4 linked regions of the Struthio camelus genome follow. Each later gene encodes a partner of the first gene's protein in a complex. Links are inferred from orthologs where the notes say so. Each region holds a gene or a part of one and is shown on either strand. Other genes may lie near its edges. The genes, in order: SMARCD1, ARID1B, DPF1 and DPF3.

Evidence for each region.
Region 2: SMARCD1 (region 1) and ARID1B share a complex: the UniProt entries of both Homo sapiens proteins name them as parts of the neuron-specific chromatin remodeling complex. The link is inferred for Struthio camelus from reciprocal best matches to the Homo sapiens genes SMARCD1 and ARID1B.
Region 3: SMARCD1 (region 1) and DPF1 share a complex: the UniProt entries of both Homo sapiens proteins name them as parts of the neuron-specific chromatin remodeling complex. The link is inferred for Struthio camelus from reciprocal best matches to the Homo sapiens genes SMARCD1 and DPF1.
Region 4: SMARCD1 (region 1) and DPF3 share a complex: the UniProt entries of both Homo sapiens proteins name them as parts of the BAF complex. The link is inferred for Struthio camelus from reciprocal best matches to the Homo sapiens genes SMARCD1 and DPF3.

Annotation. Positions count from the first base shown.
Region 1 is NC_090969.1:1,483,784-1,491,639, forward strand, and holds the start of SMARCD1 (SWI/SNF-related matrix-associated actin-dependent regulator of chromatin subfamily D member 1), read right to left. Parts: upstream 3,010-7,856; 5' UTR 2,995-3,009; coding exon 2,827-2,994; intron 2,668-2,826; coding exon 2,480-2,667; intron 1,623-2,479; coding exon 1,580-1,622; intron 1,473-1,579; coding exon 1,350-1,472; intron 1,041-1,349; coding exon 918-1,040; intron 775-917; coding exon 658-774; intron 329-657; coding exon 227-328; intron 130-226; coding exon 1-129. UniProt on the Homo sapiens protein: Involved in transcriptional activation and repression of select genes by chromatin remodeling (alteration of DNA-nucleosome topology).
Region 2 is NC_090944.1:78,519,928-78,527,675, reverse strand, and holds the start of ARID1B (AT-rich interactive domain-containing protein 1B), read left to right. Parts: upstream 1-4,737; 5' UTR 4,738-4,873; coding exon 4,874-6,715; intron 6,716-7,748. UniProt on the Homo sapiens protein: Involved in transcriptional activation and repression of select genes by chromatin remodeling (alteration of DNA-nucleosome topology).
Region 3 is NC_090957.1:571,228-579,055, reverse strand, and holds the start of DPF1 (zinc finger protein neuro-d4), read left to right. Parts: upstream 1-4,819; 5' UTR 4,820-4,907; coding exon 4,908-4,939; intron 4,940-7,759; exon of another isoform or gene 7,760-7,828. Other genes in the region: NUMBL (numb-like protein), read left to right, coding at 9-308, 476-631, 1,343-1,881. UniProt on the Homo sapiens protein: May have an important role in developing neurons by participating in regulation of cell survival, possibly as a neurospecific transcription factor. Belongs to the neuron-specific chromatin remodeling complex (nBAF complex).
Region 4 is NC_090946.1:43,565,667-43,573,285, forward strand, and holds the start of DPF3 (zinc finger protein DPF3), read left to right. Parts: upstream 1-4,609; 5' UTR 4,610-4,653; coding exon 4,654-4,685; intron 4,686-7,619. UniProt on the Homo sapiens protein: Belongs to the neuron-specific chromatin remodeling complex (nBAF complex).

The sequences.
Region 1 (7,856 bases):
CCGCTCATGGGGGTCCTGGAGCTTGTGGGTCTTAATATATTGCCACAATGCCTGGATGATCACTGGACGGGTCTGAGTGTGGATCCCCAAGAGACGAGCCAAGCGGGGATCCAGTTTGAACTGAGGAGGCTGAAACAAAAAGCACAGAAAGACGAGATAGGAACGCGGTGACAGACAGGGCTCAGCAAACACTACCGGCCCAGCAATGTTGTTCCAAACAGCCTACCTGGTAATCGAGCATCAGGAGGACAGTACAGCGCACATTTACATCTCCCGGCCTCTTCACCTGGAAACCATCTGTCTCCTGAGTTGTAGCAGTCCTGTGCCACTGGGGGACACAGAACAGGAGAGTGCGTTCAGTGGCACCCCTAGTCTTTGTTCCCTTTGCTCCTGCTGGGTACCCAACATGCTTGCTGGTAACCCCCACCCACCTACAGAGAGTTAGTCTCATTCCCATATATAGTTTGAAGCAAGAGTTAATGCACTTGCTCAGAGCCCCAGCAAGTCAATGGAAAAGCTAAGATAAGACTTCAACAGCTCCTAGCTCCCAGCCACTTGTTCAAGCCACCACTACCTCTCGAGACATGAATGACATGCAAATTCTGTCTGCTGAACAACAACCCACTTTTAGAGATAGTGCAGCAAAAAGCAGCTCACCTCTACCAGGTGATTGTCTGGGCCATACAGGTCTTTATCAAGTTCAATGACCAGAGATTTAAAGAAGGATGAGAATTTTCTTTTCTGTTTGGTGGCATCATATTTGGACAAAGCAGACTGCAAGCAACACAGGAAGGGTGTTAGGAGAGCTAATCTCAGTACTCGGTGGTGGACCTAGAGCCCCAGTTAGCTTCTTTTAACCGGAGACATCAATGCTTGTCTCTTTCCCTCCCCAAAGGGGTTGGGTGTCTCACACTCACGTCTTCCAGCAGCCTTCCTTCTACCCGAAGCTCCCAGGAGGCAACTGTGCCTTCACCATCCTCTGCATCTGACTTGGCTGGGTTGAAGGTATTGGAGATAAAAATACGTAGCTTTCGCTTTTGCTAAGAGAAAAAGCATCAGCTAAATGTTAATTTTGAAATAAAGGATCAACTATATTATGTTTTGCTAAAACTAAGAGGTTCAGTATCCTTATCTATTTCATATTCTACCTCTCCCAGGACGGGCAGCAAGGAAAGAGGAACATCAGGCCTTCCTGGCTCTGCTCCTCCGTTGGCATCTGGAGTACTAAGGTTCCTGATACACTGTGCTTACAGCGACAGGACCCAAGTTTCAGTGCACTCCTGCTCTCTTAACTAAGGTAAGAGTCTCCAGTCCTTGCTTACAGTAACATTGAACATAATCCTCTCTACCTTAATGGGTCGCTTCAAGGCCTCTTGGATATCCAAGCGTTTCCGCATGATCGTCTGGTCCAATTTCCTTTCGAAGGCCAGTAAGTCCATATAGGCCTGAGACTCAGGTACAAGTTCACGAATCTACAGCAGAGCACAAGCCAATCAAGAATGCAAGTCACCGTTAACTCCCCCACACTTCTCCGATCTACTGCATCTCAACAGAAGCTGCGAAGGCACATGCCACTCACCCTCTGAGGTAGAATTTTGTCAGCCATCTTCTTCTTTTTAGCGCTGTTAAGGAAGGAGATGCACACACACATGCATTAAAATGGCAACCACTCTGTCCTATGTAACTGCAGGCATTCGTGAAGGGCGTGAGGATGACGGGTTATTCTCTGGTTTAGTGCTGCAGCATTAGCAGTGCTCTTAGCCTGGGTGCCAGCCGTCAGTCCAGCCTCTCATTTTCAGAGGCACTTACTGCTTCCAGTCCCCACACGCAGGCAGGCTCTTTACTCCCCACAGCCCCTGCCCCACGAGGCAGCCAGTGCTGCAGAGCTGACAAACGCTGCAGCACCGTGACTAACCAGTTACCTGAATGCTTCGCGTCCCCTCCGAGAGCTCGGGAAGTGGGGTTACATCATGTTGAAAGGGGCATGCTGACATAATATCGGGCCAAAGTGACTCTCAAGCCTAATTTAGCTTCAGTTTGACATGCTTTAAACCAAGAAATGAGTTAACAATGATGCTAAGGCTGCCATTATACTGCCAGAAACGTAACAAGCTTGCCCTTGTCTAGCAGCTGCACATTAACGCTTTTATCGGCTGGAAGCTCCCCTCTCCCCAACAAGTAGCTGCCCAAGGAAGCTCAAGTCCCTTTGAGCCGCCCAACAAAAAGCGGCAGTGAAAAGCCCAGGCACGGCACGAAGGCAGCGCGCCCCAGACCCGCCGCAGAACAGAAACGCATTGTGCTGCCGGGAGCAGCCCCCGCAGAGCCGTGACCGGGATGTCCCCAGATCCCGGGGCACGGCAGAAGAGGGGGGCGTCACCGGCAAAAGCCTGCACCCCGGGGGGGAGCGGGGGGGCTTTAAGGGAGGGAAGGCGTCCCGGTGGCCGGGGGTGCCCCGGTGGCCGGGGGTGCCGCTCCTTACTTGTGGTTGCGGTTGGGCACGGCTTGCGGCTGCACCTGCTGGAGCTGCTGCGGCGCCGGCCTCTTGCGGGCCTGGTCCAGGCCGGCCTGCGCCATACCGGGCCGCACCGCCGGGCTCCCGCCGTAGCCCGGCGGCCCCATGGAGGGACCTTGCGGCGTCAACCGGCTACCCGGGAGCATCCCGGGGCGCTGCGGAGAGAAAGAGACCGGTTCCAGTGCCCGCCGGGCGGCTCGGGGTGGGGGCAGTGCCCGGCCCGGCCCGGCCCGGCCCGGCCCATCCCCGCCCCGCCCCGCCCGGGCCGCCCCGGATAACGGCGGCCGCCGCCGCCGGCCCCTCCCCCGCCTCACCGGGTAGGCGGCTCCCGGCAGCGGCGAACGGTACAGGCCTTGTCCCGGAGCCGGGCCCATGCGCACCGGCCCACCCGGCGTGCCCGGCCCCAGGGCGGCGGCCCCGGCGGCGGCCCCGCCGCCTCCGCCGCTGGGAGTCACCGCCTGGAAGCCCGCCCGCGCCGCCATCTTCTCCCAGCACAAAGGGGAGCGGGCCGGAACCGGACGCCGGCCATAGAGAGCCCGCGCGGGGCGTCGAGCTAGAGCGTCGCCGCCCGCTGCCGCCCGCCCCCTGCCGCCTGGAGGTCCGCGCTGCCGGGCCGGGCGGAGGAGGGGGAGTCTATAGGGGCTCCATGGGGGGATGCAGGGGCTGGGGGGAAGGGTGCTGGGGCCACGGGGGGGCGTTGGGGGGCTGTGAGGGGTGCAGACTCCATGGGGGGTCCATGGGGGGATGCAGGGGCTGGGGAGGAGGGTGCTGGGGCCATGGGGGGGGACCATGGGGGGATGCAGGGGCTGGGGAGAAGGGTGCTGGGGCCATGGGGGGGCTCTCAGGGGTGCAGAGTCCATGGGGGGATGCAGGGGCTGGGGAGAAGGGTTCTTGGGCCATGGAGGGGGCGGTGGGGGGCTGTGAGGGGGTGCAGAATCCATGGGGGGATGCAGGGCAGGGGAGGAGGGTACTGGGGCCATGGGGGGCAGTGGGGGGCTGTGAGGGGTGCAGAGTCCATGGGGGGGTCCATGGGGGGATGCAGGGGCTGGGAAGAAGGGTGCTGGGGCCATGGGAGGGCAGTGGAGGGGCTGTTGGGGGTGCAGAGTCCATGAGGGGGCTATTGGGGAGGGCTGTGTGGGTCTTTGGGGAGGGGTGCAGCATCTGGGAAGGGTTGGTGGGGGATGGGGGGGTCCATGGAAGGCCATAGGGAGGTGCAGGTGCCATGGGGTGTCCATGTGGGGCTGTGGGAGGTGCAGGGTCTAGGGGGCTGTAGGAGGGAGCAGGGACTATGACGGGTCCATCAGGGTGCAGGGTCCATGGGGTGCTGTGGGGGGAAGGGTGCAGGGTCCATTGGGAGGCTATGGGGGGTGCAGAGGCCTAGGGGTGTCCATGGGGCGTTGTGGAGGGGGTGCAGGGGCCATGGGGAGCAGTGTCCTTGGAGGGGGCCTAGAGATCTATGTTTCTTTTATTTTCTTTATTCCCTTTACGTCCCTCCAGCTCACAGTTTGCTGTATGTCATCCCCCTTTGTCACCATCTGTACTGTCACGGAGGGGTGTCTGGGGTGGGAGAGGCAGCTCTGTGTGCCAGGGGCTCTGATATCCATAGAAAACCACCTGTAAGACACTTTCCAGCTCCCTAAGCCCTTAGGCTGGCAGCCCCTGAGCTCGTCTACCTGCCTCAGCTGGCAGCACACCTTGCTCTGATCTCCTCTGCCCTCTTCCAGCTGGGCTGGTTTCCCCTGCAGCCCTCAGGGCTACTGTGCAGGAGCTGCTAGAGCCGGAGCTGCTCTGGGGCTGAAGGGGGTTGGGGTATGAGTCTTGTGCTTGGCTGGCTTTTGACGGTAGCGTTGGCTCTTACAATATCTACCTGTTGCAGGAGATGCTGGTCTGGTCCTGCAGCCTCTCTTGCCCTGGGGTGTGCCCCGAGGAAGGTTGCCTTGCCTGCGCCCCGGAAAGGAGGACTCTGAGATGCCAAAGTGGCGGTAACGCCTCTCACTGGAGCTGCTGTCCTTAACATCTTAAGAAGTAAGCATGTGGGGGCATAAATGGATGTGCTTTTATATCGGTGTGAATATATATGTCTGCGTCAGTATGTTGTAGCTGAAAGACTTCGTCTAGATGGTGATAATACTCCACAGAGGTACAAAGTTATCCGAAATAGCTCCTCACAAGGTCATGCCAAATTACTCTTTGCATATGGATAAGTGTGAGTTAATGGAGGGACTTGGAGGATGTTCAGAATGGGATTTCTGAAAGTGATTTTTCAAAGGCTGGAGGCAGAAACCTCCTCCCAGTACGTAGGGTTTGAACCTCGGTGGTGACTGGATAAAGAGGGGGACTCGTGAGTATAGACCACCAGGTTTCACTGTGGGTTCTGCCACTGATCAGGTAGCCGGGGCCTTGTTTGTTCAGGTTTAGGCTGAACAGCCAGGTAAAGGGCTCCGATCTCCCTCAGCAGCGGCTTGGGCTGCTACAGGCAGCACAATGTTAGATTTAAAGGCCACTTTCTGCAAGTATTAGCATTAAGCTCCCTATTCCCTAGAGCGCTTCCCCTTGTGGTTGCTCAGAGAGAAAAGGGACATAAATGCAGCCAACGTTAATTTGTGGGGGAAAAAAACCTAGGTGAACAGTCACATCACAAGCACTAATTAAACAATTAATGATCATGGATCATTTAGGAGGATGTCCTGTACAGTGCATGGCATTGTCAACTGAGCAAAGAAGTGGGGATGTGTTGGTACCTTCTCTGCCAGATACGGTATTTCCTACCCTCAGTGCTTTGAGCACAGCCTATTAACTGTTGTCTCAGCATCCGTGTGTCCATGCAGTTAATTTAATGCCACCTCTGACAGGCTTGGCGCCCAGCTGCCTTATGAAATATTCATGGGGAGGAAAAGCAGCGGAACTTATCTGCTCCGTATTGTTTGGATGCAACTTTGACTGAGACTTAAAGCCTGGCAGGATGGCAGGAGCCTTTTGGGCAGGCTGGAACTGCCTGGCTCTCCTGGGAGAGACAGAGTGAGGAGCTGTGAAAGCAGCAGAAAGCAAGGGCTAACCTGAGAAGTGGAGAGAGGGAAATGGGAGTCAGATAGCTGCTCAGTTTGGCACAGGGAGCTGCAGGGTCTTGAGAGCCCCGGTGTTGCTTGAGCTGAGCTGGGAGCAACCCCAGCTCTCTGTCCCCTGTTATTAGCTGTATCCCCTAAGAAACACCTTCCCCCTTGCCTGTGCCCTGAGGGTTTGGTTGGTTCACTCCTCCCAGTGGAGATGGTTTGTGTGATGCTACCCCGTGCACCTTGGTTTTACTGCACCTGCTGGCGCAAGGCAGCTACTCTGAAACCTTCCTCCCCAACCCGTATGGCTCTGGCTCCAGGCAGCCAAGCAGCATCCAGGACTGTGTAATTATATCTCAGCGCCTGTTTCTGCTGGCAGCTTTAGCACTGAGCAAGTGGTAAGCGGGAATTACTGCCAGGGAGGAAAGGAGGTGATGCTATCTCTGCCATGGTTTTATGCATCCTGCATGATTAATCCTTGCTCTGTAGGGTTTCAGCAGCCACACGATCTGCGAGGTAAACACAGCAGTGTGCAAGCAGGTGCTTCCCAGCGTCTCAGGCCTAGGTGTGTCACATCTCATCCTCACGTAGATCATCAGAGATGCTTCCTGCGACGTGTAATTAACTGTCTTGCGCGCAGCATGAATCTCGTGCAATAATATTGAGTGACAGACGTGGATGAACACGCATGCTGCCTTTGCTACGCACCTTGCAGGCTGCCAGCCTCACGCAGTGCACCCATCCGTGCACCACAGCCCCCCTCAAGGCTCCCTGGCCAGCGGACACTGCCCCGGCATGCTCTGAAGGTGCACAGCTCGCTTGCGCAATGGAGCCTTGAATATGGAAACATACAACCTGTGCACTTCGTAACAGGGCTGCTCACATTTGTGTGCTGTCTGGCTACCTGCGGTACTCCCAACGTGCTCCCGCGCCCAGCTTCTGGGATGGGAACTGTCTTGGCTGTGCCACCTTTGGGTCCAGGCTGTGCCTTGCAGCACAGACACCATTTCGAGCGCAGCGGCAGAAACGGCTCTGCCAGCCGTGCTGAGGCTGGGGATGTTCCTGCGCAATGTGAGGCTGTGACAGATGGAGGGGGTGACCTGCTCCCAGCAGGGTTAATGGGGAGCTGCGAAAGAGATTACAGCCCTCAGCACCAGGGCTGCTGCCTGCCCCCTGCAACAGGAGCTGCTGTGAATGCCACTGCGGAGGGAGCACGCGTGGTCAGCTGCCCTGGCTACTCAGTGGCTGGTTGCAATTAATTTAGGTTCATTAACTCCCTTCTGGCAGTTAGCTATATTATCTTGTTCCTATTCAAAGCCCACCCTGTAGCCTATGCAGCACCGGCTCTGGCAGAGAAGGACCAGAGTAGCAGTAAGTCAGTTCTAGTTTAAATGCAAAACACCCGGCTGCCATTTCCAGGAGCAACAGGGGCATGACCAGAGCCAAGTGACCAGAGGGAGTTTGGCATTTCAGTATTCCCTGCCCACTCACTGTTATTCAGTCTGTGTGGGGTCCTGAGGGCTTTTTCTGATGCACAGTGTTGGATCTGGCATGTTACTTTTGCTCTCTGCAGCTGGAAATCTTTAGGACAGAAACTGTGTTTACATATGGCTTGTGCTACAACTGCTACTAACTCTGTTAAATTAAAAGCAGGTGAGATCCAAGCCAGTGACTCATTTCTGCTGAAACTCAGGTGTCTGTCCCAAACCACAAAAGTGTTAGAGTTGTCAAGGATTAGCAGCTGTGCGTATGTTAATTCTCGTCCCCCCTTGGGAGCAAAAATCAGTTCCCATCCTCCAGCCCTGACGTGTCCTCACGTGGCAGAGCAGGACCAGGCAGCGACACTGGAGCTCGCTTAGGTACCAAGAACAATTGCCACATTAGCACAGCAAAGCACGCGTTTGAAGACTTCATGCAAGTCCAGACTACAGCTTTATCCTTTCCCCCAGCCCTTCCTTCTGGCCTCAGCTCCAGGAGTTCAGCGAGACCTTCAGGAGCATCCTGGGATGGTGCTGTCCCCACCTGCCTCCTTGGGGAACGTTTCCTGCAGCTCGGTGAGAGAGAAAGGCTCAGTGTTCATGAGTTATATCATTCTTTATATCATTGTTAAGAGTAGCAGGTATTGATGTACAATGCATCTGTCATCTTATTGTGCTTCCTATGAAAATGTGTGTACATAGTACAGATACCAGAGAGAATTCAACACTTTATACACTTGAAGGCATTCAGAGATCAGTAACAGAAAAAAAATGGCACAAGAACAAGGCCTAAAAGCTACTAGATGGGTATCTACA
Region 2 (7,748 bases), on another chromosome or scaffold:
ACTGTCGCACTAAATCTCATTTAATTTTCCTAATTTATAAATAATGACGATAAATTATTAGTTTAAAGGAAAGCTGGCCTTTCCTTAAGTTTCTCCAAAATATAATGCTGCTCCCAAACAATGATATAGGATCCTGAATTATTAGGCTAAAATTCAGTTTAAAGGTTCAGATTTCATCAGTGGGTAGACCTGGAATCAACAACACCTACTATTACTGCCAAGTGGAAGATTTTGTTTTGATTTACAAAATGGGTTGAGCTGATATCTCACCAAGGACAGACTTAAGAGCTGTTTTTCCTAGAGGCCTCAGTCCACAGAAGCACTTAATCAGGTCTTAACTTTAAGCAAGTGAGTGATCTTATTGACTTCAGTGGATGATTCGCATTTGTAAAACTGAGGTATTCAAACATTGTATTCAAATGGCCTAAAACCAGCAAGGAAAAAAATTGCTAATGTTACAATTCCATGATAAAATAATACATGACATTCTTGAGATGGAGATGGTGATGTTTCTAAGTCCTTTTGTTTACACATTGCCAGAAGAAATTGATTACATTGCCCAGAATTAGTGTCTGCTAAAGAATAGATTTTAATTACCTGGTAGAACGTGTCACTCTCTACACGTTTTAGGCCACAGTCTGTTGGCGTACACTGTATTTTTTCATTGTCTATTATGACCAGCTAAAATAAAATTATCGCACTTACATATAGCCTTTACACCTAACTTAACAGGTAGGTATCCACTGTAATAGCTTACATATTACATTCATGTCTGAAATATAAAATAAATAACATACGATGAAGAAAATATTACTTTGCTATATATTGACCACATAAGGGTCTTCTTAAAAGGAAAATCGCATTACTATAGCACCAAATACCAAGCTAAAGCATAAAGCTAAAGCACTGACCTGGCTACATACTTTTCTGTGATCTGATTTATGCCTCCTTATTGGAATCAATTAAAAGATTTGCACTGACTTCAGAATGATTTGGATTGGATGTTTAACTAGTAAAAGACGTGATAATTTAATAAAATCTCAATTCTCTCTTTTTTTTCTCATTAAACCTAATGCCAATCTGAAAGAAGGAAATTGAGAATGATGGTGAATTTGACAACTGTTTCATCTAACTGCACAGTGAATTTAAGCATACAGCACAACCAGAACCAGACAAAAGGGATTTTTGCATGAAGGAATTTTTCTGACCTTTGTGGGTATTAGGTCAGATGCAACAGGGTCTTGATGCTCTGACTGGATTCTTACCTCACAGAAAAAAAAAAATCAAAAAGCACAATATTGCTGTTTATTCCGATATCTCTAAAGGTAATAACGCCTCCATGCTGTTAAAATATTGTTTTATTTTCTGTATATCTCTTTACCGTTACTCTTTATATGATCTAAAAGCCACTGTTCTGACCAAACAGAAAGATGTTTGCCTTACTGCTGTGAAACGCATCTAACTTCCATACTGGCAAGCTATGCACAGACAGCTTAGGGTGTCTGTATAAATGTCATAGTCAATGTAATAAGTAAACAACAGTAAGTTTAGACAATTATATTGTTTATCCTGGAAAGTTATCCCAGAACACAGGAGTTTATAATTTATCAGGAAAAAATCAAGAAAAAGAAACCATGCTTAGACAATATTGCATTATAGAAAACAATTAAATTGAAGAAACACTGAAAATTGAACTAAAGTTGAAACTACGCACTTGCGATATTAAATATCAATGCAATCATTTTGCAGCAGATTATATGCATGACAATTAGAGCTTTTTTTACATTCTATTACAATAAATTCATAATTCATACATATAATGAGAGCTTTTGGAAGGGAGAATTTGAATTTAACAAACACTACCACTCATCATCTGAGCAAAGATGGCAAAGGGAATTTCAACATTATTTGTGATCTAAAAAATTGAACCATCGTTGCTTTGTGTTGTGCTTCCCTTGCACAGACTGCAGTGCCTTCTGTCTGCTTTAGGGTGTGGCATCTGCCATTGGGGAGGAAAAACTGGCATGTGTTGCCTTTTATAGCAGACTGATTTCATTGTGCTGAGGGCCTCAATTTTATAGCCTCTTAGATCCAATCTCGTAGCCAGCCTCGTTGCTGAAACAAATGGAAGGAAAAGGAGTTAGTAGCATAAACTCTTCAGTTTCTAAGCTTCATCTTTTTTTTTTTTTCTTTCCCAGGAAAAACGTCTTGAAGTAAATCTGCGTTAAAACTTTGTGGCTTATTTTCCTGTTCAGAAAGAGTTGTGGACTATGTCAGGAAGTACTGCAGTCCTCAACGGAGGCACGGTCAATACATTTATCAGATTTTAAATATAAATATTTTTGCTTGGATATAAATGTCGCAAAGTATAAATGTGTAATTGATTTTTTATTTTATTTTAGAGTACACATGTAAATAAATACACACAAGTAGACATCTATATTTATATTTGCATATGAAAGACTTCAAAAAATCAACTTATGTGGTTTAATGTGTATAATTAGTGTGCGTTTGAATATAGAAAAGAAGAAAATCCAGGAGAAAATGTCAAAAAGGCTCACTAACAAAGATGTAGTATTCTCTTGGCAAAAGCTGATGAATGATTTGGCATGAATTCATCTTACAGTTCTGTTATTCTCTCTCCTACAAAGATGATATACCCCTTTCTAGCAGTTTGCATAGAATTGCAATTTGTTGTTGTTACAGACTGTAATGACCCTTGGGTATGCACCTGATTCTCCCCACTAGAATTACTCACCGTTTTTTTTCCCACTCTGTTTCTACTAGCCATATAACATTTTCGCACTTGCACAGAGTACCAAAAGAGAAAACGAAGAAAAATATGATTGTAATAGAAGTATTATCAAGATGTACTTGATGAACACTGAGACTTTAAAAAACTAACTCCCTAATGGAAATCAGAACATAGCTGACTTTTTCAGACAGAGCTAAAATGAATAGACACTGGAATCACACTGTTTGCACATTTATCAATAATCTTTGCATGTAATTCAACATTAGAGCATGAAGCTTCTGCTCTTTAATGTTTTCACAGTGGATATAAAAAAGGCCTACCTACTTGTGACAGCATCTTTCTTGGTATACTGTATTTTTCTCTATCATTCCTATTGAATTTCCTATTTATCTATTTTGAAATTTGAAAGCACGGTCATCTCTAACAGAGCACATAGAACAATTCATTTAAAACAGCGTATTTCAGACCCTTGCTATATTGAAAACATTCATTAACGTCCCAGTTTGCTATGTTTGTGCAGAATATTTGATTTTCCCACTGCTTTTCTTAGTTGAATGTAGTGTATGACTACTATCTTTTCTAATGCTAAGTTATTATTAAGATAGTTATAGAAACCCCTCCAACACATTCTGAAAGAGTGTACAAAAATGTAGGTCAGCAGCAACAGTTTAGCATTTGGAGCAAAAGTTACTTTGATTACATATTTTGTATTACTAGGTTTTCATGAGTGCTTTGTGCATACTAGAAATTATATTGTTTGGGGAAACAGTTATGAGGCTCAAAACGTCTCACTCCCCTTGACCAGCTCCTGTTGATCCGCAAATAAGCACACAGAACATACTGAAAAGAGCCCTATGTATAAAAGCATCATCAGTGCAATGACCATTAGAGTCTGGAGGCAGCTGGGCAACGTGGCCAACTGCAAAGATGCTACTGCCGCAGAATTTTGGGTTACATTTTATAACCCTTTGCAAAAAAAACAGAAATCTTCCCGGGGGGGGGGGAGGGGGGAGAAAAAAAGCATCCTATTTTTCCATGAAACGGATGACAGGATTTCCCTGTCATCCGCGTAAAATGAAAATGCGTTTGCGCGGCACATCCCGGACTCAAGGGCAGAGGACTAGAGCCTTTCAAAGTTTGACCCATTTATTTCTATGTATTTAGCGCAGCCAATCTGGGCACCGGCAACGTGCGGGCTGCCCCCGTCTACCCGGCCCGGCCGGGCCCGACCGCTGAGCGCCCGCGGGCAGCCCCGCCGGGCCGGGCCGGGCCGGGCCGGGCGCCTCAGCGCGGCCGCCTCGGGCCGGAGCCGCCGTTGGGGCGAGGCCTCGGCCGACATGAGTCCCGCATGGGGTTGCCTCCTCCGCGGAACTTGATCCCAGAGCCGGCGCCCGGCTCCAGCCCTGGGTGCGCACAGAAAATGACGAAAATAAATAATAATAATAATGAAAAAAAAACCCCACCAAAATCTAAGCAGGGGCGCGAAGGGGGCCGCGCCCCCCACTCCTACCGGCCGCCCGGCCCCGCGCGCCCGCCCGCGCGTGCCGGCACCGGGGCCGCGGCGGGCAGCGGCAGCGGCAGCGGCAGCGGGAGCCGGCGCCGCGCCGAGTCCAGTCCGCGTTTTGCGAGTGCGCGGGAGCGCTCGGCGCGGAGGGGGCGATGGCTGCTGGGGCTCGCTCGCTCGCTCGCTCGCTCATGCCATGCTGGGCCAGATAGGCTCAGTCAGACGTGTATTTACCCATATCCGGGTTAGGGAGGAAAAGAAAAAAAAAAAAAGTTTCATTTAAACCTGAACAAAAAAACTTTCAACATGAAATCACACAGCAGGAACAGGCACAGACCGTAAGGCATTCTTACCATTTCTAATCTCAATCACGGACTCGGGGAGGGAAATTTCTGTAATTTTTGTGCGTGTGGAGTGATCCGCAGGGGATACTGTTGGCTCAGTTACGTCTCTTTCCCCCAGCCGTTTCTCTTTTTGCCCCTCTCCTCTCCTTTCCCTCCCCCCGACTGGCCCCCCTCCCCCCTTTTTTTTGGAGGGTAAGGGGTTTTGTTTTGTTTTGTTTTTTTGTTTTTAATTCTTACTACTAATAATTTCTCCGGACTTGCAATGTTGCAATGATCATGGCCGCGCAAGTCGCAGCGGCTCCGGCGGGTGCGAACAACAGCAAGGGCAAAGCCCCGAGCCTGCCGGGCAGCCTGGGCCCGGAGCGGGGCCCGGGGGGGGCCGGGGCCGCCGCCGCCGCCGCCGCCGCCGCCGCCGCGGGGGCTCCCGGGCCCGGCCCCATGCTGGGGGTCGGAGACGGGACTCCCACCGGCGGCAGCAGCCTGAATAATGTAGATCACCATCTCCTCCAGCACCACAGCGAGCCGCTGAACATGGCCAATAACGCAACTTCTGCCGCTGCCACCGGTAACAACAGCGGCGGCGGCGGCGGCGGCGGCTCCTCCTCGGAGCCGGCTCTGAAGGAAGGTGGAAGCTCCTCGGCGTTATCTTCTTCTTCTTCTTCCTCCTCCTCCTCCTCCTCCTCCAACCCGGGCCCGGCCATGGAGACGGGGCTGCTCCCCAACCACAAACTGAAAAGCGTCGGAGGCGATCACCCCGCCGCGCCGCCCCACCACCACCACCACCATGCCCACCACCCGCATCACCATGCCCACCACCACCACCACCACCACCACCATGCCCACCACCCGCACCACCACCACCATGCACTACAGCAGCAGCTAAATCAATTCCAGCCGCCGCCGCCGCCGCAGCAGCCGCCGCCTCAGCACCATCCCATGCAGAATAACAACAGCAGCCTCGGCGGCGGCGGCGGCGGCGGCAGCGGCAGCAACAACAACGGCGGTGGCGGTGGCGGCGCTGCTCAGCCCAGTGCAGACATGGAGCAGCAGCAACATGGAGGAAAAGACAGTGTTTTGGGCACTCAGGCCGAGCCCCCGCAGCAGCCGCAGCAAATGCTGAATAAAAGCGCCGACGAGGAGGAGATGCCCGGCAAAATGGGCGAGCCCATCGGCGGCCGCTACGAGCACCCCGGCTTGGGACCCCTGGGCGGACAGCAGCAGCCCCAGCAGCCGCCCCAGAGCGCTGGGAGCGGCGGCGGCGGCGGCGGCCTCGGCGGCGGCGGGAGCGGGGGCGGCGGCGGCGGCGGCGGCGGCGGCCCCTCCGCGGTGGGTGTCGCGGAGTTCAACAGCTATTATGGCAACGCTGCCCCCGCCGCTGCCGGCAGCGCCACGGCGAGCCGCGCCGGGCCTTGCTTTGATCAACATGGCGGACAACAAAGCCCCGGGATGGGGATAATGCACCCCACGGCGGCCCCCAACAGCATGGACCCCCTGCAAAACTCCCACGAAGGTTACCCCAACAGCCAGTACAACCACTACCCGGGCTACAGCCGGGGCCCCGGCGGCGGCGGCGGCGGCGGCGCGGGAGCCGTGGCGGCGGCAGCGGCGGCGGCGGCGGCTGCCGGGGCAGGCGGCGGCGGCTACGGGGGCTCCTCGGCGGGCTACGGGGTGCTGAGCTCGCCGCGGCAGCCGGGCGGCGGCATGATGATGGGCCCCGGCGGCGGCGGCGGCGGCGGCCTCGGCAAGGCGGCTGCCGGCGCGGCGGCGGCGGCGGCGGCCGGCGGCTTCCAGCGATTTTCCGGGCAGAACCAGCACCCGTCCGGGGCCACCCCTACCTTGAACCAGCTGCTCACCTCCCCCAGCCCCATGATGCGGAGCTACGGCAGCAGCTACCCCGACTACAGCAGCCCCAGCGCCCCGCCGCCGCCGCAGCCCCAGCCGCAGGCAGCGGCAGCCGCCCCGGGCAGCCAGCAGGCAGCGGCGGGCATGGGCATGGGCAAAGACATGGGCTCCCAGTACGGAGCCGCAAACCCGGCCTGGGCAGCGGCGCAACAAAGAAACCACCCGGCTATGAGCCCTGGAAACACCGGGCAGACCATCAGCAGGACCCAGGTAACCCCCCGCGCGGGACCCGGGACGGCTCCCGCCTCCGCGCGGCTCCTGCCCGCCGCTTAGTTGCTGTACAATTCACTTTTCTTGCTTTCTTTACTCTTTCCTCCTTCCTCCCCCCCCCCACCTTTCCTTATCTTTCTTTCTTTTTTTTTTTTCTTTTTCCCCCCTCTGGGCCAATTCAGCTACTCGCTGCCTCCGTAGCCGGGGCGAGCGGCGCACAATACGCGGCCCCAATTAGGCTGGAGGCATCGGAGTGCTGGTTTCACTGCCGAAAATTAGGTTGTTCTGAAACCCAATTAACAATTTTCCCTCCACTTTGAAATAGCGATGCAGAGGCGCAGGGCCCAGAGGAAAAGCAGCTTGGGACGAAGAGGGATTTGGTAACTAGAGTGTCAGACCCAGTGGGTTCTTGGAGAATAATATTCATTATCTTACAGCAGGGCCTTTTTTTTTTTTTTTTTGGAAACAGGATGAGTTGCTGTGGAGCATGCTTTTAGCAAATTAGTTTGTCACTGATGGAGTTACCGCAGTGAAATCCGCTGAAAACAGCCGGGTTCCTTTTTCTGTTGGAAGAGTGTGTATGTGCGTGTGTGTGTGCGTGCGTGTGTGCCCTGTGTGTATGTATATGCGCCGTAGTCGTAAGGGCTCGTGCGATACGCATCGAGGTGCGTGAAGTGCTCTGTTCTCGTGCGTTAGTCCAGCAGCCTTTACAAGAGTGGCACGGCGCTGAGGAGCGTGCCCGAAGTGAATACGTGCACGAATAACTGTGTTTTTTCTCCCCAACACGCACGCGAAAATCCGTAGGCGGTGGGAAGACCGCAGAGGTCCTTCGCGCGGAGCAAACGGGCGCGGGGCGCTGCGAGAGATCGCAGCGTGGCCCTGACGGACGTGCCGCATCCCCGACGAGCTCGGCCCGATAAGTCCCTAAATCGGTAGGGAGCGAGGCGGTGCCGGTGGAGTCGCGCCGCTGTAGGTCGCCGCTCTGCCGGCGCCCGGGCCGCGGGGCGCGGCGGCGAGGTGGTGCCCGCTCCTG
Region 3 (7,828 bases), on another chromosome or scaffold:
GCCGCCAGCCGAGGCGGCCCCCGCGCCGGCCCCGGCCCCGGCGGAGCCCCCCGCGCCGGCGCAGCCCGGCAGCGCCTCGCCGCCGCCGGCCGCCACGTCTCCGGCGGAGGGGGCGGCGGGGGGGGGCGCGCAGCACGCCATCCCCCGGCGCCACGCGCCCCTCGAGCAGCTCGTGCGCCAGGGCTCCTTCCGCGGCTTCCCGGCCCTCAGCCAGAAAAACTCGCCCTTCAAGCGGCAGCTCTCGCTCCGGCTCAACGAGCTGCCCTCCACCCTCCAGCGCAAGGACAGCTTCCAGGCCCGCGGCGCCGGTGAGGGGCTCGCGGCCGGGGGCGGGGGGGACCCCGCGTTTAGGGGGCGCGTGGCGGCACCCTGGGGTGGGGGGGACAGGGGGACACCCTGGGTATTGCCTCTGGGGGCTGCTGAGGTTTTCGGGGTCCCCCGACGCCTTTTCGTGTCCCGTCTCCCCCCCGCCAAGTGCTGGAGCTGGAGTCGAGCCCCCCCGGCGACAGCGACGGGATCAACGACCTCTGCAGCCAGATCGACGCCTCCTTCGCCTGCCCCCCCGGGGACCCCTTCGGCATCGCGGCCCCCAACGGCGCCGCCACCCCCCCCGCAGAGGGGGGTCTCGCAGGTACCCCCGCCCCAGCCGGCCGGCCGGCCTCCTCCGTCCACGGGGGCACCCGCGTCCCTCTCCTTGCATAGGGGCACCCACTTCCCCCATGCATGGAGGCGCCCGCGTCCCCCCCCATGCATCGGGACACCCGCATCCCCCCCCTTGCATGGGGGCATCCCAATCCCCCCGTGCATCGGGGCCCCCGCATCCCCCCTCCTTGCATGGGGACATCCCAATCCCCCCGTGCATCGGGGCCCCCGCATCCCCCCCCTTGCATGGGGGCATCCCAATCCCCCCGTGCATCGGGGCCCCCGCATCCCCCCTCTTGCATGGGGGCATCCCAATCCCCCCGTGCATCGGGGCCCCCGCATCCCCCCTCTTGCATGGGGACATCCCAATCCCCCCATGCATCGGGGCCCCCGCATCCCCCCCCTTGCATGGGGGTGCCTGCGTCCCTCGCCGGGAATAGGGGCACCCATGAACCGCTGTGCGTGGCGGCACCCCCATCCCCCCCTGGCAAAGGGGCACCTAGATCCCTCTCCTAGGCTAGGGGCACCTGCATCCCCCAAACGTGGGGGGTGCCCACATCTCCCCCAGCAGCCCCCCCAGCAGCCCCCCCAGCAGCCCCCGCCAGCAGAGCCCCATGCCAACCCCCCGCGGTGTCGTGCATCGCGCGACTCGCAGCCCCCCCCACCTCATGCCCTTCATCCCTCCTCCTCCTCCCTGCAGGCCCCATGTCCTGGGCTGAGGGGGCGGCCGCGGGGGCCCCCCCCTTCCAGCCGGGCCACCGCCGCACCCCCTCGGAGGCCGAGCGGTGGCTCGAGGAGGTCTCCAAGACGGCCAAGGCGCAGCAGCAGCAGCAGCAGCAAGCGGGTGCCGTGCCCCCCGCCGTGCCCCCCTACCCCCTGGGCTACGAGGCAGCCCCCGCCACAGCCCCCCCCGGCGTCTTCCTCCCGGCCTTCGTCCCCGTGGGCACCTACCCGCCGGCGCTGCCCTTCGCGGCCCCGGCCGTGCCGGTGGTGGGCATCACCCCCTCGCAGATGGTGGCCAACGCCTTCTGCGCCGCGGCCCCCCTGCCCGCCGCCGAGCTGGCCGCCAAGGCCAGCCCCTTCGCCCCGGGGCTGCCGGGGGCCCGGCCCCCGCCCGCCGCCCCCCGCGCCCCCCCGGACCCCTTCGAGGTGCAGTGGGCGGCCCTGGAGTCCAAGCCCCCCCCAGCCCCCAACCCCTTCGCCGACGACGTGCAGAAAACCTTCGAGATCGAGCTGTGAGCGCGGGCCGGGGGGCCGGGGGGCTCCTCGCTGCCAGGTTGGGGGGTCCCGGTGCCCCCCCTCCCTGAGGCTATGGGTCCCCAGTGCCCTCCAGCAAGGCTGGGGAGGTCCCAGTGACCCCCAGCAGGGACCAGGGAGTTCCCCAGGGGTCCCCAGTGCCCTCCAGTGAGGTCGGGGAGGGTCCCAGTGCCACCCCTCCCTGAGGCTATGGGTCCCCAGTGCCCCCAGCAGGGACCAGGGGGTTCCCCAGGGGTCCCCAGTGCCCTCCAGCGAGGTCGGGGGGGTCCCAGTGCCCCCCAGCAGGGACCAGGGGGTTCCCCAGGGGTCCCCAGTGCCCTCCAGCGAGGTCAGGGGGGGTCCCAGTGCCCCCCAGCAGGGACCAGGGGGTTCCCCAGGGGTCCCCAATGCCCTCCAGCAAGGTAGGGGGGGTCCCGGGGTCTCCAGTGCCCTCTAGTGAGGCCGAGGGGGGTCCCGGTGCCCCCCAGCAGGGCCCAGGGTGGGCTGTGGGGTTCGGAGGGGGATGGAGGGAGGCAGGACCAGGCTTGGGGGGGATCTGGGCCCCCCCATGGCCCCCCTTCGGCTGCCCTCAGCCCCGGGGACACAAGGGACCAAGGAGAGCCGCAGAGCGGGGGGCACCCCTGCGGTGGGGGGGCCCCGCTCACCTCTCCAAATCCTCTTGCTTTTTTTTTTTTTTTTTTTTTAACTTAAGCAGATTTTTGTATTTTCCTCTAATTTAATATAATATATATATAAATATATTCCCCTTTTAGTTCGAGGGGCCACTATAGCTGGTGGGGGGTGACCCTGCGCTCTCCGCCCCCCCCCCCTCGCGTCGGTCAGAGCCAGCAGCGCTGCTTTTACTGCCAATTTTTGCCCCAAGTGGGCATTCTCCCCCCGCGGTGCCACCGCAGCCCCTGCCCCACACATGGGCCTGGGGGGAGCCAGCGTGGGGCGGCTGGCCCCCGCCCCAGGCCACGGCGCCCTCGTGCAAGGTGCACCAGGGTGCCGGGGTGGGGCGGGCAGGGGCCCTGGGGCGCAGCGTGCAAGGGGTCCAGGTGCGTGAAGCCCCCGTGCGAGGCGTGCGGGGGGGGCTCTGGTGTGATGTGTGCGAGGCAGGGGAGGGCCAGGGCACAGGGTGTGCAAGGCGGGTGCAGGCCCTCGTGCAATGCACGTGGGGCCCTCGTGCAAGGTGCACAGGGCTCTTGTGCAAGGCGTGCACGGGGCCCTGGTGCAAGGTGCGGGGGGGGCCCCGGTGCACGGCGCCGTCCCGCCCCCGCGTCTCCGCGCCCGCCGTTACCTCAGCTCCGATTGTACCCGCGGCGGGAGGGGGCCGCGGGATTTTCTATCTTTATTTCCAGATTTTTTGTATCTCAGAAACGACAGTACTAAGAATAAAGGCTCCTCCGCTTCGTACCCGGGGCCGGGGCGCGCTGCGGGCCGCGGCTGCGCGCCGGGCCGTGCACACGCGCGGGCACACGCACACACACATGCATGCACATACATACATATATATATATATATTTATCGCCTTATCTTGCATAAGGAACTGGATCACTCGCAGTTGCCGTGGCAACCTGCAGGGATCCCTGCCAGTGCTTAAAGGGGCCGCGGCTGCGGGGAGGGGGCAGAGCCGAGCCCCCCCCCCGGCCTTGTCCTGCCTCAGTTTCCCCACGTGCGATGGAGTCCAGAGGGGGGTCGGGGGGCTGGGGGGGCTTGGCCCTGCTGCGCCACCTTCCCCCACCCAGCACCCTGTTTGCTGTGGGGTCTGGGCAGGGTCCCAGCGGGGGTCCTGGTGGGGTCTATGGGTGCCATTGGGGATCCTGGTTGGGTTCTGTGTGTCCAGGCAGGGTCCCAGCTGGGTCTGTGGGTCCCGGTGGGTCCCCAGCCAGGGTCTATGGGTCCAGACAGGGTCCCATTGGGTTCCTGGCCGGCTCTCTGGCTCTGGACAGGGTCCCACCAGATTCCCAGTCGGGGTCTCTGAGCCTGGGCAGGGTCCCGTCCAAGTCCCATCGGGGTCTATGGGTCCCATTGGGTTCCTGGCCGGTGTCTATGGGTGCGGGCAGGGGTCCCATTGGGGTCTCTGAGTCCAGATGGGGTTCCAACGGGGGTCCCATTGGGGTCTATGGGTGCGAACAGGGTCCTGTCAGGGTCCCGGCCGGGTCTGTGGGTCCCATCGGAGTGTCTGGGTCCAGACAGGGTCCCAATGGGGTCCCAGCTGGGTCTATGGGTGCAGGCAGGGTCCCATCGGGTTCCTGGCTGGGGTCTATGGGTCCCGTTACGGGTCCCAGCCAGGTCTATGGGTGCGGGCAGGGTCCCATTGGGGGTCCCAGCTGGGGTCTCTGGGTGCAGGCAGGGTCCCATCAGGGTCCCAGCCAGGTCTGTGGGTCCCATCGGGGTCCCGTCGGGGTCTCTGGGTCGGGTGCACAGGGTGCCCAGGGTGCTGGGTGGGTTGGAGGGTCCCATCGGGGGTCCCAGCCTGGGTCTCTGGGTGCAGACAGGGTCCCGCCGGGGTCCCAGCCAGGTCGGGGGTCCCGTCGGGGTCCCGTCGGGGTCTCTGGGTGCAGGCAGGGTCCCGCCGGGGTCCCAGCCAGGTCGGGGGTCCCATCGGGGTCCCGCCGGGGTCTCTGGGTGCAGGCAGGGTCCCGCCGGGGTCCCAGCCAGGTCGGGGGTCCCATCGGGGTCCCGCCGGGGTCTCTGGGTGCAGGCAGGGTCCCGTCGGGGTCCGGCCAGGGTCTTTGGGTGCAGACAGGGTCCCGTCGGGGTCCCGTCGGGGTCTCTGGGTGCAGGCAGGGTCCCGCCGGGGTCTCTGGGTCGGGTGCACAGGGTGCCCGGGGTGCCGGGCGCGGCGGCGGCGGCGGCGGCGGGGGGGGGGGGCGGGGGGCGGGGGGCGCCGGGACTACATTTCCCAGGCTGCCGGGGCGCGCGGGGCGGGCTGGGGGCCGCCCGCACCGGCCCCGGCCCCGGCCCCGGCCCCGGAGGATGAACGAGGCGCCGGGGCGCTGCTCGGCCCCAGCCGCGCCGGGGGCATGGCCACGGCCGTCCACAACCCGCTGAAATCGTGAGTGCGGCGCCGCGGCCGCGGCCGGGGCCGGGGGGGCCGGGGGGGGCCCGGGGCGCACGGGCTGGCCGCGGTGCACAGCGGTGCGCAGCGAGCCGGGGAGTGGGGGTCCGCGGTGCACGGGGATGCACAGGGTGTCGGGGGTGTCCGGGGTGCACAAGGATGTCCGGGGTGCACAGGGATGTGCAACGAGCCGGGGGTGCACGGGGTGCACGGGGATGCGCAGCGAGCTGGTGGTGTCCGGGGTGCACAGGGATGTGCAACGAGCCGGGGGTGCACGGGGTGCACGGGATGTCCGGGGTGCACAGGGATGCACAGGGTGTCTGGGGTGTCTGGGGTGCACAGGGATGTGCAGCGGGCCAGGGGTGTCCGGGGTGCACAGGGATGCACGGGGTGTCTGGGGTGTCTGGGGTGCACGGGGATGCGCAGCGAGCTGGTGGTGTCCGGGGTGCATGGGATGTCCGGGGTGCACAGGGATGCACAGGGTGTCTGGGATGTCTGGGGTGCACAGGGATGTGCAGCGAGCCAGGGGTGTCCGGGGTGCACAGGGATGCACGGGGTGTCTGGGGTGTCTGGGGTGCACAGGGATGTGCAGCGGGCCAGGGGTGTCCGGGGTGCACAGGGATGCACGGGGTGTCTGGGGTGTCTGGGGTGCACAGGGATGCGCAGCGAGCTGGTGGTGTCCGGGGTGCACGGGGATGCGCAGCGAGTTGGGGGTGTCCGGGGTGCATGGGATGTCTGGGGTGCAAGGGAAGAACGGGATGTCTGGGTGTCTGGGGTGCACAGGGATGTGCAGCGAGTTAGGGGTGTCTGGAGTGCACGGGGGTGCACGAGGTGTCTGGGGGAGCATGGGGATACACACTGACCCGGGGGTGTTTGGGGTGTCTGGGGTGCACAGTGCTGCACAGCGAGCCTGGGGTGTTTGGGGTGTATGAGGTGTCTGGGGTGCACAGTGAGCCTCGGCTGTCCAAGGTGCACAGGCTATCTGGGATGCACAAGGATGCTCAGCAAGCCTGGGGTGTCTGGGGTGTGGGCACAGCGAGCCTGGGGTGTTCGGGGTACGTTAGGTGTCTAGGGGGTGTACAGGGTGCCCAGCGTGTCTGGGGGTGCATGGGGTGTCTGGAGTGCACAGCGTGCCTGGGATGCACAAGGTGTCTGGGGATGCCCAGGGTGTCTGGGGGTGCACAGCGAGGCTGGGTGTTTGGGGTGCCCAGCGTGTCTGGGGGTGCACAGGGTGTCTGGGGGTGTCCAGGATGCCCAGGGTGTCCGGGAGTGCACAGCGCATCTGGGGATGCACAGCGAGGCTGGGTGTTTGGGGTGCTCAGGGTGTCTGGGGGTGCACAGCGCATCTGGGTGTCCAGGATGCCCAGGGTGTCCGGGGGTGCTCAGCGCGTCTGGGGGTGCACAGTGAGTCTGGTGTCCGGGGCGCGTGTCAAGCCCAGGGCGTGCGGGCTGGGGGCAGAGATGTGAGGCGCGTGTCCGTGCGTCTGCGGGGCTGTGCACCAGCCGGGTGTGCGCATGCGTGTGCAGGTGTTGTGTGCGGGTAACCTGTTGGAAAGACACACACGTGCATTGCGCGTCAGCGTGTGCTTGTGGGTAAGGCTGCATGCGGTGACCTGTTGGGGTGTGTGCACACACGAGGGCACAGGTGGATGATGTGTCAGGGTGTGTGCACACGGGAGCGGCCTGTGCACAGGGTGCATGTGCACCCGTGAGGCCACACGTGCAAGGCCCATCGAGGCGCGTGCGCGTGTGTGTGTGCGCGTGTGTGTGTGTGTGTGCGCGCGTGTGTGTGTGCGCGTGTGTGCGTGCGCACATGCAAGGTGGCGTGTGCACAGCCTGTTGAGGCATGCACACACCCGCGGTGCAGCGTGTGCACAGCCCGTCAAGGTGTGCGCACACCCGCGAGGCCGTGTATGCATGACACATCGAGGTGTGCGTACACCTGTGATGCAGCGTGTGCACAGCCCGTCAAGGTGTGCGCACACCCGCGAGGCCGTGTGTGCATGACACATCGAGGTGTGCGTACACCTGTGATGCAGCGTGTGCACAGCCCGTCAAGGTGTGCGCACACCCGCGAGGCCGTGTGTGCATGGCATATTGAGGTGTGCACACACCTGTGATGCAGCGTGTGCACAGCCCGTCAAGGTGTGCGCACACCCGCGAGGCCGTGTGTGCATGACACATCGAGGTGTGCGCACACCTGTGATGCAGCGTGTGCACAGCCCGTCAAGGTGTGCGCACACCCGCGAGGCCGTGTGTGCACACCCGCCGGGTCCGCCTGCGGGTGGCCTGTCGGGCGCGTGTGCAAGGCGTGTGCGAGCCGTGTGCGGGGTCCCGCTCGGGCTGCTGCTGGGGGTGGCCGGGAGGGGACGCGCGGGGGGACGCTGAGGGGGGATGAAGCCGGCGGGGGGGGGATCCCGCCGGAAGGGGGCGGGGTCAGCATCCCTGGCAGCCCCGGACGCCTGGGTCCCCTGCACCCGGGGGGGGGGGCGGGACCCGGTTTGGGTGCAGCCCTGCGGGGAAGGGGAGGGACCCACGACCCCCAACAGCAGCCCCCCCCCTCCACCAACATCTTGCCCCGCCCCCGCCGTGACTGGCAGCCCCCTCAGCCAATGGGGGCCGGCGGGGGGCGGGCCGTGGGGTGCGGCATGCCGGGATATGTAGTCCCATGCGCCCCCCCCCCCCCGCCGCCCTCCCGGTGCCGGCGGGGACCCGGGGGGGGGGGCGCGGGGTGGCGGCGGGGTGGGGGGGCGCTGCGGGACCCTGCCCGGCGGGCGGGCGGGGGGGGCCGGGCGGGGAGGGGGCAGCGGGGGGAGCGGGGGGGAAACGGGGGCTGAACCCCGCCGCCCCCTCCCCGTGCCCGAGCGGCGGAGCGGCCCCGGCGGC
Region 4 (7,619 bases), on another chromosome or scaffold:
CTTTCCCTCCTCTTTCAGTGAACCCAACTATTGGTAAAGATCAAAGAAAATGAGGAGGCAGGCTGACGAGAAGCAGTGCATGAGAGATGCCTGCAAAGCTTTAAATAAATAAAAAGGGGTTAAGATTTCGAATCTACTGCATGATATCTGTGGATGTGAGGCCCTGTTTTGCTCTAACCCAAAGATAGGAGAGCTTCTGTCACAGAGCGTGTAGTCATACTTACGCCTTATCTGAATCTGGTCCTTTGAATATTAATATGTTTGAACAAAATACAATTGCATATTACTAGACATATCTGGGGATATTAAAGCTCAAAAAGCATGTGACTTCTGGTAGACTTACAACTATTTATTTTGTATTTTCTTCCATTGCAGAATTAGACAAGTTGCTGGCGTGTCAGTGTGTAGTTTGTTTCACTTTCCAATTCACAAGAGTGGAGTGAAAGTAAAAATCTAATCTTTCCTCCCTCTAGAAAACACAATTGTATGTTAAAAGTTAACAAGACAAAAGGGAAAGCATGAGACTATACATACAGGGTAAAACCCCTTCACAGACAAGGGTCCTCAGTGAAAATAAGGCTTTGCAGGGTGAGCAGCAACGTTTTTCACACCTCACAGAAAATAGCAATGCACTTGCATTATGTAGACCATAACAATGTTTTCAATAGGGGTGGATCAGAAGGGTAGCAGTATGATCCATGACACATGACACTTTCCAATACAATGGAAAGAAACTACATTGTTTTTCTTTTACTTGGGTAGAGACAAACTGCAGATCCGTATATCAGACCTGATATGAGGGTGTGGATTCCACCTTCAAAATCCTTGTTCTCTCTAGCCCCTTAGAGCCTGAATGTTTAGGCTTTGTGTTAATGCCATAGATTTTTATGTAATAGTTTTATGTCAAAATCTACCTTTCCTTTTAAAATTTAAATGTTGCCTGCCCAAACAGTTGGGAACCTTTCATTAAAAGTATGCCCACCTAAATTTCTAGTGCTTAATATTTTAACAGCATTTTTATTTTCCTGTAGCCTCCTTGGTATGCTTCAGCTGGGTCTGAATAAAACTATCAGCAGCTACCTAGGAATGTAAAAATCCAAAGCTCGGAGCTTAGTGTATATGTAACTGGGTGTGTTTCAGATGTGTTCGGCTCATGTGCGATGTAAGTCAACAGTAACAGTATTGATTAGTGACTTAGAGTAGCCTAAAACCAGAATAAAAAGGAACCTAAAAATTTAGTTTATAAATGATCAGTGGTTGATGGAATGGTGTGTATATGAAAATGGAGCCTGCCATGGTGTGGTATAAAAGTTTTATTAGCATAGGTTTTTTGATGCGCCCCTTACTCACAAAGAGTGACTATGTGAATAAGTTATGTAGGTCATCACAAACAAAATGCCACTCAGTGCTCCTTATTTGCATGCCTTTTTTACAGCTAAAACAGTAACCTAAATGTTGTAGAATTCTACATGAAGCACTCTATGTGAAAGTAATATAGATAGATGAGCAAAGCCTCATGCCTTAGTTATCACATGTCAGTCTTCCTGCTGTTCTGCTACGGCAGCTTTGTCCTTAGGCTTCCTAGAGATTCCTCTGAACAAGGTAGTACTACTGACCACTGCTCCTGGCCAGTAATATGGGATCTGACTAGGAGAAAAAGTATCAACCGTCCACCGTCTATGGCTGTTTTCACTATTTGCTGCAGTTGCTGGTGGCTGATAAAGGCCCAATGTCTGAATAGGGAGCAGCAAGGGAGCATGAGCGTGTTTTAATCCCATCTTTGTAATACGCTCCTTGCCAAGCTGCACCAAGAGCTCTTTGCCTGCAGAGCAGAAATGGGCCTATATATCCAAGTGAACAGGACCAGAGGGACTCATTAAACTTCTAAAAATGATCTCAAACAGCTTTTTTCTAATTCTCTAAAAATGTCACCATTTTACACTAGAGTATATCAGGGCTTTCTAGAGCTTGGCTGAATTGTGGCACTGCCTTCTCTCAGTAGCTCAGATCTGCCTCCAGTTCTCACTACGTTCCAGACTATTTTTTCTTTTGTGAGCAGCATAACTGTCATTCCACAAATAAATATTGCCCATTCTAGACCAAATGCTAAAATGTGGTTGATGTTTACCACCAGGTGAATAGCAGGACAATGAGGAAAGTGAAACGAGCAATCCTCATGGTAGTGGGATGTGATATAGGTCTTTAGGCAAAGATAGGCACTTTGTGGTCTAAGTTCATATAAATACAGTTGTCGTTTTCTGAAGGTTCTCAGGGCCACACATACAAATCCTGGAGACTGATTAGTATCAGTGTGGACATGAGGTAGCCAAAAGAGCGTGATAAATTCTTTGCACAAATAGTTAAAGCGGTTTGCTACATGCTTTTTCTCCAGTCTAGTTCTTGCATATGATCATTACTTTTGTGGTACCTGTTCTTTAAATTGTATCTGAACAAATCCCTGGCTATAGCAGTAATTCATACCTGCCACTGTGTAGTGTACTGTGAAGCACTGTTTCCTAATATTTAGACTAGGGGAGAATTTCTGTCAGCAGTCTGGGCTGTGGGATGTAATATTAAGAAATGAGGACATCCAGGGTCACTAGTTCAAGTGCGCACTAACCTGTTCATTTCTTTCTGGTGTGTACATCAACTGTATTTTTACAAAAACTTGGCAGTTTGTGGTTAGCTTTTCCTGTGAACAGTGTGAGAGTACTAAACAGGAGTATCTGTAGTCACATTCAATGTCACTTGGGCTACTACTATATTAAATAACATAATGTAATATGATAATGGAAACATTCTTAAAGATTGCTTCCCAGAACTGTGTTTTGGGATATATCTCAATATCTTGGCAACTCTCCAGCTTACAGAAAGCTTATTTCTGCTAAGCAGTGTTTGTAACCAAATGGCTTAGATTGCTTTGATGGAAGAGATGATTCCCTCCAGGGATATAAACTTGGCACAGCAGTTAGGTTGACCTAACAGCCAGAGTAGGCAATGTGTTGGAAAGATTTAACTTTTCAAAACTTCTGATGTATCCATAATGAATGGGAAACTGATGCATCGCTCTTTTCCCCTCTTCTCTGTCTCTCATCATCTACTTATCTTTCTGTTCTCCATCTCCCTTTTTTTTCTCTTCTGCCTCCTTACTAGAAAGTTTTATTTTGATAAACAAAAGACAGGTTTTGGTATCCTTGGTCTTCCTAAATTCAGCCCTTAGCTAGACAGATTGCTATTTCCAATTCTGTTAACACCTGAATACCCCACAAGCACAGGTACTTCCATTCTTTTATTCAGTAAGTTCTGAATAAACTTGGTTCTTTATTCTTCTTTCTTATACTGTTTTTGCAGCAGTGTGTTTTAACTGTCTTTAGTTGAGTTTCCTCTGATTATATAAATGCAAAGAATGGAGAATCAGGCTTGTGCTTTTTTTTTTTTTTTTTTTTTTTAGGAAGCCTGAAGGGAAGCAAGACCTTTGAGAGAGAGAGAGAGAGAGAGAGAAGTATTACATGACAAAGCTTACAGGTAAGAGGAAAACTTCTTAGTCTGATTCTGCGCTTGTTTATACCAAATTAATGCTGGTATAATTTCATGAACTTCATTGGATTTGCCTCTGAGTTTCAGTGGAATCAGGATTGGTACTTCTTAAATCACTTAGGTTGTGCTACATAATTCATTTGCAAGCTCCTTTAATGAGTTGCAGGTAAGCGCAGACTTCCTGGAGTTCGCTGCTTCCCCAGGAATGGACTCTAACTACACCCTGTCTATTCCAGAAGTCCTGCCTCCGAATTGCTCTTTTACTGTGCAAGTAAACGTCCTATAAAACGTGGATTAAAGCTCTTCCTCCTCCTTTTCTTTCTGCCGAAAGATCGGAGGACCAGGTCTCAACACGCTAAACCAGCCGATCACTTCAGAAGTTGCTTTGTGGGAGAAAGAGAAAACAAGCAGGCAGTGGGTTCGGCCACTGTGCATTATGTAACCAGTGCACTGACTGCAGGAGCTGGATGACTGACATTGAGAAATTCCTGGGGGAGGGGGAGGGGGACGGGGGGGCTGCCCTGGAGTCGCGGCGGGCGCCGGCAGCTCCCAGAAACCTGAAGAGGAGAACGGCTTGAAAGAAAGGGAAACTAACTGGGAATAGCAAGAAAAAGCTTGAGAATCTAATGCGGCAGCAAATGTCAGCACACATGTAATTTGTTTTCCTGCTAAAATGGCATGCATCCAACCTTTGCACGTGAATAAGGGGGCATGCCGTTTGGGAACCGAAAGGCAGCGTCGGCAGTGCAAAAAGACAATGAATGAGCCGAGCTTTCCCTCCCACACTTCTCTCTCCGCTTGATTTCCTTAAAGAAAGAGCCAAATAACTGCAAAAGTGTCGTCCTCCCCCCCACCCTCGTCCTCTTAATCTAATTCGGTGTGGTGACAGCCCCTTGGGTGTGCGCTGCCCCTTTAAGACCTGCTCGCTTCCAGTTCCACAGAAAGGGAGTGACCTCTGGGCTTTGACAGCTCCCCTAATAACTAGCAGAGCCCTGGCTCCGCCTGCGAGACGGGATTGGGCGGCGCGCCGGTATCCCGTCCGCTGATTGGCTGGCCGCTTCCCCTGAGCGAACCTTTAGAACTCCGAGACACAATATTCTGTTACATTGTAGCAAAATGGCGACTGTCATTCACAACCCCCTGAAAGCGTAAGTAGGAATCAAAAATGTACATATTCCGCGTGGTTTAAATATGAAAAAAGGCGCCTTTCCGATGCTTGCTGCCAGCCAGAGCCAGGTGCCTCCAGTCTCCCAGCTGATCTCTCCTCCCGCCCTCCTTTCTTTCGGAGCTACTCTCCTTTTTGTGCAACACACATAAATGTCTTGTGCTGAAATTATCGAGAAAAATGTTACATTTGCGTTCTGCTTAATTGGCTGTCTGGGAGACGGAGAGATGCACGGTCTGGAGGGGAGGATGGCGTTGGGGCTCTTTGCAGCTTTCGGAACCGCGTGAATCTTGGAAACGGCAAGATCCCGAAGGACCGCCGAGGGGGTTGCATGCACTTGACAGAGTCTTGCGCCTGGCGTCCGGGCTCGCTCGTCCCGCTGCCACTCCGGTGTCCGATGGGGGACGGATCGGGCTCGGAAACAGTGCGCTTAATCCTCGGCTTCTCGGCGCTCCGACCGTAATTCGGAGTTTTCTTTCGCAAATCTTTCCAGAGTTGGGCTGACTTAAAGAGGGGGAACGAATCGGCCACATCGCTTCTTAGCTCAGTGGCAAAGGGGTTGCACGGACCGTGTGAAAGCAGGGCAGCAGGGGCATTGCAATTACATTAGATTTGTGTGTGTGTGCGCGCGCGAGGGAGAGCGATAGGAAGAGGGGGAGAGACAGACACGTTAAATGAATGACTCGGGATTACTGGTGGTTAATTTGGGGCAGGAAGTCCGGAGATCTATTTTGCATATGACAGGCTTTCGCTTTTAAAAGTGGCAAAGAGAGTTGATTATGTTTCCATCTTGAGGGTGGGCACACACAGCCAAGGTCTGCACGGACAGAATTTGGCCAACTGTTTGCTGAGGAAATAGAGAGAGTGCGGGTGTAAGGGAGGGGGCAGGTGCTTCTGCTACAGAAATATTCTAGGGTTTCGGATCTCGAATTCAGGCCGATTTAAGAGGAAGAACGCGGGAGCCAGTTGTCTTCTGGATCCCGTCCTTTATTTTCCTTATGGTCTGCAGCACACACCGTTAATCCCTCAAGGCATTAGGGAGAGTGGGATTTGGCACTGTATGTGGGGAGAGGAGCTGCTTTAACCTTTTTAAAACGACTTTTCTGCTAACGGGGGCAGCGCTCTTGCTAATAAAGCAAGAAAGCAGAGTACCTGGCAGTGACGCTTCGTTTGCACTTTCTGGCTGCACTGAGCGGGTGTTTTTATACGTTTGAGTTTTCAGGGATGAAATTAGGGCTGCGACGTTTTTCTCCTTTTCTTTTCTTTTCTTTCGCGCTCTCTCTCTCTCTCTCTCTTTTTCCCCCCTCGACTCAACTCTCTCCGGCTGGAGTTGGAAAAACACTTGACGGTTTTTCCAGGGATTCTTGCCGCTCTCTCTGCAATCTGGAGGGAAGGAAAGCCTCGAGCTGAAAGGGGGTGCTGACAGGTTTATCATTTCTCCTGCTCCATCCTGGAGGAAAACCTTTGCTTTCGTTTACCCAACCTTTCTATAGCGCCTTATAAAAATCTGCGGGAAGAGGGGAGCGCAGCTGTCAGAAGGTTTATCAAAGCAGTCCGTGTATCTTCGGCGGAGAGGGGGATCTGAACATGCTTTGAAAACTGCACGGAGCAGACGACGTGCCACCCATTTGACGGCACGCTTAATACTTCTGCCGCGAGAGCAACTTCTCACCATGTCCTTTCCCCCGCCGTGCGTTGCTCAGACCCAGGGCAGATTACTCCCGCTCATTGCTGGGAACTTAAACTGCACGAAAGCAATATTCGGAGCCATAACGTACAATTTCTCACCTGGGCTGTAAAATGCCACGTACGTTTATGAGACTGTGTAAATATTACAAGCAGTGAGGAAGACCGGGCTTGCCTGCCTTTGGGGGAGGGCGGTGAGATGCTGGGAGCTCCCTGGAAGGAGCGTCGGCGCGGGAGCGGGGCGCAGCCGGGGAGCGCGCCGGGCGCCCGGCCCGGCCCGGCCCGGCCCGGCCCCGCCGGCGGACTTCGCGGCGGTTTGCACTTCTCATCCCTGTGAGCGTCGCTCCGAGCAGCCGCAGTATGCCTCCGGAGAGGAGGGATCCTGACAAACGCGTGCTTGCGCTTAAAGGAATGGGGGGCCTGATCCCGCTGCTGCTAAAGTCGGAGGGAGCAGGATTAGGCCTTTTATAATTAGCTCCCTTTCCCTCCCCTTACCCCTGGAGTGTGAGAGGAGGAAACAATAGACATCAAGTGCTGGGGTCGTTTTTTCTCTACGTGCTTTTTAAAGTACTAATGCTGTGTAGAGGAAGCAGAATTGGTACGGGCTGTCTGACACCATCTGCATTTTTTATTAACAACTTGTTTAATAAAACATTTTATAATTTTCATTTATTCTTTAAAGTTGCTGATCGGGAAACAATACACATGTAAATAAATTATGCATGGGATAAATTAGGACAAAAGCAGTAGGACACATAATAGGGGAAAAGATGCAGTGCACAGTATTTTATCCTCATGTGTCCTTCCTGACAATGAAAGGGAGCTGAATGACATTTGCATTTCCTCTGTCTGCGTTTTGATTATATCTCAAGACCCACAGACGCCCCCTACAGAAACTGGCCACACAAAGGTTTTGCTCTGAGATGGGGGACAATGTAGAGACTGCAAAATCCCAGCTCAGGTATCGTGCTGCTCCCTGTGTGTGCTTGTGCATTTAAGTGTGTCCAATATTCAGCTTCTCTCAGGCACTTGGACACATATGTTGCCTTGTTCATGCTAGACTAGTCCTCCCGGGATAATGTATTCCAGTGTATCTGAGCCTCCGTGGGAATGCATTACATTGAGTAAGCTCAGTCTGTGGAGTCCCTTATTAATGACCAACAACTCCTTACATTCAACTTGCCTCTTTTGCTGCATATCTCTTTTCTCACTAGCTGAATCTCTTTTGGTG